Linked DNA regions of Bombyx mori. The protein of the gene in region 1 purifies or fractionates together with the protein of each later gene. This does not show direct contact. Links are inferred from orthologs where the notes say so. Each region holds a gene or a part of one and is shown on either strand. Other genes may lie near its edges.

What was found. Proteins that work in one complex are often made in the same cells at the same time.
Region 2: the proteins of ALY (region 1) and mitochondrial matrix protein p33 purify together in Homo sapiens (affinity purification with mass spectrometry; 3 studies listed by BioGRID and IntAct, with this or other methods). This does not show direct contact. The link is inferred for Bombyx mori from reciprocal best matches to the Homo sapiens genes ALYREF and C1QBP.

The regions. Positions count from the first base shown.
Region 1 is NC_085114.1:10,512,128-10,516,312, forward strand, and holds ALY, read right to left. Parts: upstream 2,846-4,185; 5' UTR 2,789-2,845; coding exon 2,585-2,788; intron 1,935-2,584; coding exon 1,718-1,934; intron 1,640-1,717; coding exon 1,445-1,639; intron 813-1,444; coding exon 664-812; 3' UTR 560-663; downstream 1-559. Other genes in the region: replication factor C (activator 1) 5, read left to right, coding at 3,750-3,784, 3,873-3,937. UniProt on the Homo sapiens protein: Functions as an mRNA export adapter; component of the transcription/export (TREX) complex which is thought to couple mRNA transcription, processing and nuclear export, and specifically associates with spliced mRNA and not with unspliced pre-mRNA.
Region 2 is NC_085114.1:15,032,494-15,035,177, forward strand, and holds part of mitochondrial matrix protein p33, read right to left. Parts: intron 2,388-2,684; coding exon 2,237-2,387; intron 2,035-2,236; coding exon 1,838-2,034; intron 514-1,837; coding exon 425-513; intron 1-424.

The DNA of each region.
Region 1 (4,185 bases):
CTCTCTCCCCTATAAAGCTCACCCTGCACCCACATCACCCCCGACCTGTGTGGCAGGGAGCTTCTGTCCAAGCAGTGGGGTTTGCCCGAGGCCCGTTCCGTGCCCCTGTAAGGGGGTACGACAACTCCTTTTATAAATGAACTTTGATGTTGCCGTAGCTTTAAATATGACTGTTGATGTGCTGAAATTGAGTGTAATGACCATGAAAATTTTTTGAAAAAGTATTTCTCATTGTTTTTGACAGACTTCCACATTGAACGAATAACATCACCAGTAGCTACGTATAATTTTTAACCTACACAGGTAGTGATGTTTGGAGGTGGAGCAGTGATACGCTTAAGATCTAGGCAGTTTCCAAATCGGCAGATGCCGAATGCAGATGCATTCACTGTAATACAGTTGAATTACGATAACCTCCTTAAAAATGTTTACACTTGTGTACACAACTACAGACTAAAAAGAAATCTATACAAGAAAATTTCAAATCTGGGTTTATTTATCCAATTTAATACATGTACTAGAATTATAATTTCTTTATAATTCGTAGTCTTTTATTAGTATAACCTATACTTTTACAATTAATCTAGAACATTGAGAACACAAAGCTTATTCATTCATATTTTAAGATAAAACTGAGTGTCTATGCACATTCTCATTAGTTATTCACTTGATTTCTTTCACATATGCATCAAGCTCTGCATCTAATTGTTCTGCAGTAGGTACTGGTCGTTTGCCTCTGCCTGCACCACCACGTCCTCTTCTGTTTCCCCCACGTGCTCCACTATTGCTTTGATTTCTAATTCCTCCACCTCCTTCAAAAATAAAATAATTAATGGATTTCTAGTAATTTGTAACTTGCAAACAGTAAAGTGAAAATGTACAACAAGAACTAGTGGGAAAATATCAGTTTTAAAAAAAGTAATTAATTTTAATAATGTTTTTTTAAATGAAGGATTTAGGGCCGGAGGCCTTTCCAGTTACACCACGAATGCTTAGCCAGAAGAGAAGGGTTTGCTAACAGTTGAACACCTCCGAAAGAGGTCTAACACAATTCATGGGCAGCTGCTTTGCAAATGAATCTACTACCAGATCAGTAGTCTGTCTATGGATTAGGTTGCACATCAAACTCTTTAGAGTTCAATGAGTATGGTTAGTGTTAAAGCAGGTGTCTAATGCAAGAGTTATTGGATCTGATGGATCCGTAATTATGTGTCTAGGACATCAACAGTTAGTCTCTGCTGTGGGTAGAAATAGTCAGCGGCAGCAACAATATGGCGATTATCATGACCAATGGCCTTATTGAAGTATCTTTCCGACAATAACTAGGTGTTTCCAGATTGATTCGACTAAGAGGCCATCTTGTATATGGTGATTTGTCACAAATCACAATGATGTAATTTGTTATCACTCCTCCCATACAAACAAATCCTGGAAAATATCTTACCTCTTTTAGGATTGTTTCGTATAGTACCTCCCACACTCGCACCACCAATTCGATTTCTAGCCTCGGGCCTTAAAGTATTGATTTCAGATGTTGCCAATTGTATATTCATTGCCCGTCCATCAAGTGGCACTCCGTTATACTGTTTCATAGCCTTCACAGCATCTGCTTTTCTTTCAAACACAACATCTGCAGTACCTAAAAAAATTTAAAAATATCTTGTATGATGAAATACTTAATGGAACAAACTAAGTTTTTATGCTTTGTGATACATACCTAAAGATCTACCTGACCGATCATAATGTACAGATGCACTTTTGAGGATGCCAAATTCCGAAAATAGTTCCTTTATATCTGAATCTGATACTCCAAAGTCCAAATTGGATACAAGCAGCTTGGTAGGACCAGTTGTTATGGTCCCACTGTTTCTTTGAAGTTTCCTCTCACCAAAATCATTGAACATATCATGTTTCCAAGTGCTGTTCACATCACCCTGAAAAGGTCATCCTTCATAGAGCTAGCCATGTGGCTACTCTCTATGCCTCCTTTGAATATAATAAAAACTCAAAGCTTAGGCACTAAAATTAATACATTGACATCTGAACCACTTGATAAAATAACATTTGATGTAGTTTACATGTTTTTTTTCGAAAATTAAAATATAGAACTGTTTTATCACTTTCATCACACAGACACAAGACTAATAAGTTATGAAGCACAACCAGTCTCAGCCGTCCATGGAGTCCATTTATTTACTTTTCAACTCCTGAAGTCAATTCTATAAATTGGTCAAAACTGCACTGTAGACATCTCCACAAAAGTAACGTTTTGCTCGAATTCATTACACTTTTATATCAGCATCCATCATAGAATTTTCCGGCAGATGTAGGTAAACAATGCAAAACAAAAACGTTGATGGAGATAACAATATGGTTGCTGGGATTATGGTTTCAAGTTGAAAATAGGTCGGATACGAATAAAATAAGGGTCTTGATTTGAATCAAAGTGTCAAATTTCGTCTAAAACTATTTCAACAAGATGGTCCATATGGTTGCTTGACTTTTTGAGAACAAATTAGATACATTGATGCGTCACATTTGCCCGCCATTTGTAATTTTAGAATCATCTAATTATTGGAATTACCCTCGAATAGTTGGTAGATTTCGTTATGCCTCCACGATTTCTACCTCGTTGTACACCACCAGAGCGGTTGCTACGAAATCCAGCACCGCCTCCACGTCCTGTTCTTTTGTTTGCATCAAATTTTCTTCCAGCACCACCTCCAATCCTTGTCTTTTTGTTGGCTTTTATAATATCATCCAGTGCCATTTCAATTTGATCAACCATGGTGATTATTTGAAATTCTAAATATTTTTTCTATGAAAATTAAGTCAAAAACAAAAACAATCCTTTTAGAACTCTTCCTTCCCAAGTAGACGGTGACAAAATGGCCGAAGAAAAGATTCGTTATTGCCAGATTGCTAATATTAGTTCAACAGTAGATTGAAAAAAATTGTTGAGCTTTAAATTTGGTAGAAATTATAGTCAATAAAGACTATCTTACACATCTGTCTTAGTTTATTTTATTTTACATTTACCAGTTGATTTGGTCAAATCTTTCTGTTTAAAAAATTAAGCGCTTAGTTTTAATCTTTAACTAGGTAATCAAATCACGTAATGCTAATGCACTCAAAATTCAAATATTAAGAAGTGTATTATTTATGGTTCGAGATTTTTGGCGCGAGGAGTGAAGTTGTGTGTTTTGTTTTATTTTGTCTATTTAGTGTTTCTCCAAGTTTAAATGTGTAATAACGGTGGTTTATAACCTGTTTAATATCTGTGAAAGTGCACAAATGTGGGAAAATTGAAACAAAGCCGCTGAGCATAACTTTTTGGGATCCTCTAAAAAGTCCACTGAAAAAGTCTCAGTAAATGACTACCATTTTACTGAGATTATATTTCATCCCATATCATCTCATCTCATTTCATTTCATTCCATTTCATTTTCATTTCATTTCATTTCATGTTATGTTTCATATTAATCAACTTCATTTCATTTCATAAATCATTTTACATATAAAAAATATATAAAAGATTACGCTTTATGGTATGATACCTTTGCCTTTCCAATAATATATTAAGTGTATAATCTATGAATAAAACTGCTACTACTATCTATGGTTCGAATTTTGAATTTTATAGTTTCCTCAAGCTTGTAAACCAATCCACAATTTAAATAAATCGTTTTTATTAAAGTATCTGTACTTACATACTAGAAGCGATTTAAAAATACTGTTATAAAAACAATATGACTGTTGGGGAAACAGGCCAAAATTTGCCATGGTATGAACTATCATTAACAATGATTTAAACAAAAAAATCATAACTCAATATATTTTACTACGACGATTAACACTTTGTTTTTACGCAGGGTTGAAAAATATCGCCCAAAAAGATTGGATGATTTAGTATCTCATGATGATATAATAAAAACAAGTAAGTATAAATTTCTGAAACTAATGATCACATTATTTTAAAGAGACTATCAAATTTAAGGCTATAAAAATTGGACTTGAATCAGGTTGATATTAAGTTGCTAACCGTAATACGAATACCTTATAACAGTTAATGCATAAACCCCCTCTTCGTACCAGTATGTTTTGTACATTGTAACATAAAGTAAAGGATTTTTCTTTTTGTTCTTCTAGAGTACTTTGTTTACATCTTAATTGAGGCAGCAGCCT
Region 2 (2,684 bases), about 4.5 Mb from region 1:
CTTATGTGTTGTTTAATTTTACATAAAATTTGTGTCCAAGTGGCTTGAAACTAAAATTAAATCTCTCTAAGCAACTTGTAAGCTACTTACTAGAAAATACACATAGAGAGGTTGGCTTTCAGATCTTTTTGAGCTGATATAATAATATGTGAAACTAATATCTATACTAATATATCAATCTAGTGGTTTTTACGGATGTTCCGTTATAACTACTGAGCCATGCCGATTGACTTGAAACTTAGTATCCATGTAGAAAATACATGTACTTATATTTATATGAGTGTTGGACTCCCTAATAATAATGACAATAAATAATAATGTTAATTTTAAATCCCAAGCGAAGCGGGCGAGTACGGCTAGTATTATATAAAACCGACAAGATGCTGTATCTTACATACTAAATAAAGATGAATAGATAACATACCCCATCGAGCACATCACCAGCGACTGCATACACTTTGTCATTCCATTCACCCTTATATAGGGTTATTTCGTCAATGCCGAACACATCGTCTGAAAACACAATTTAAAAGTAGTTAAATTATAGTACTTAGTTTCCGTTGAAGTTGAGTTGATTAACTGCAATTACATTAGCCTACTAGCCTCTGAGAACTACTATGACCAAAGCTTACAGCATGGCCGGATCTGAACAAATCTTACGACTTAACATATCTTTTGCGTGAAGTGGAAATTTTCAATCATTTTTGCCCCTATAGAACTATAAAAATTATAATCTGGTATTTTGTATGTGATACCAAATAATTTATATTTGCAAAAAGCTCTGATCTTTTTTGTCTATAATGTGTTGATTCAATGCTAACAATGTCAATAATTGAATTATTTTTGCTTACATAGACTATTTTAATATATTTTCATTTTATTTTCAATAATCAAATTTACAGACAACTACTGTTAGATAAAGGCCTCCTGAAGGTCCAAAACAACCCCCAAAAAATCAAACCCGCAAAATTATAATTTGCATTATTACTGGTGGTAGGACCTCTTGTGAATCATCACGGGTAGGTACCACTACCCTGCCTATTTCTGCCGTGAAGCAGTAATGCGTTTCGGTTTGAATATATACTTGAGACCTTAGAACTTATATCTCAAGGTGGGTGACGCATTTACGTTGTAGATGTCTATGGGCTCCAGTAACCACTTAACACCACGTGGGCTGTGATATCGTCCACCCATCAAAGCAATAAAAAAAAAACATCGACATCATGCTGCTCAGATCTACTGGATTCTTGCTACCTTCACACCTTTAGTACTTCATCTAATACAACAGCAATTTTGATACCCCTATACACAGATCAAAAGTGAATAATGATGACACCTTGATATTTAAGATTGAGGTTATATATTAATTGTATTATGGCAGAAACAAAAAGGGAAAAAAGGAAAGGGGAGGGTGAGTCTTGACACATTCTTGCACTATCACCAAATTCTAAACTGAAATAAACTTTTTTCTTTGTAAATTGTATATCGACACTTGAAAGGCAAATGTGACTAAGCGACAGTGCGTGAACTTTACAGTAGACTAATTTAAAGTTGAAATATTTGAAAACAAAATTTATTTTAATGAATCTAGCTGTAGTAGAATCTAGCTAGTAGCTGTAGGATTGGAATGCTTTTAATAGACCTAGAAATATTTTTTTTTGTGCATTGAATATGGTTATTACCTATCATTTATGTACAAAGCAGTTATTGTCGCTTAGTCACGTTTGTCTTTCAAGCGTCGATATGGTAAACAGACTATTTTGACTTCTTAGTACTCAATCTTTAGACCCATTTGATTAATCAGAATCAAGAAATAATTAAGTTTATGTATACTCACTATATTCATCAGCAGAAGCTGCAGGTGGATCTTGAAGATAGGAGCAGGTGAAACCAAGGGTGGTGTCTCCTCGGACTAGGTCAACCTCAAACTGAGGTTTGGAACGCATCTCAGAGAACTCTTGCTTCTCAGTCTGAACATCACCCTCAAAGTCATCAGAGTCCACAGTGTGATTAACGTTGAATGTGACACGAATTCTGAAAAAAATATATAGTTAGACTTAAAATTTCACTATTTTTAATGATATTTCTGTGGGCTTGTTTCTTTAGTTTTTCGAATTTCAACAAATTGACGAAGATTGCTGGGCAGTAAAATAAGTATTTGGCAACATTTATTAACAACTGTTTCCCCAAAAAAAAATTATTCAATATTTCTCCTTCTCAAGATTTCATTACTTACGTTTCATCTTTAAGCTGCTTTGTTAAAACAACTTCAGCACCGTCTCCCTTTACAGTAAAGCCTTCGACTTCAGCAGGGAGAGACTTGACCTTCTGTGCTTTGCGTTCAGCAACTATTTCTTCTGTCAGGAACTCTACCAGTTCTCTTTCACCTGAATTTATATAAATTGGTTTTATTATGTACATTGAGAATGAAAATAAGTGCAATTTATTCTACAATACTGTAAAACATTCAATAAGTAGGTAATGAATTTTAATCAACAAACAACAAGTTTATAATACACAAACAAGGTATTTTTTTAATTTCTCTCATTTCACTACTATTTTATTAACTACAACAACTACATTAGATTTACATTACTCTTGATTATAATGATGAATAGTAATAACTGCAGATCAACAGAGAAAATCCAACTATACTATTCAACACTATATTTCATTGTGCCTGT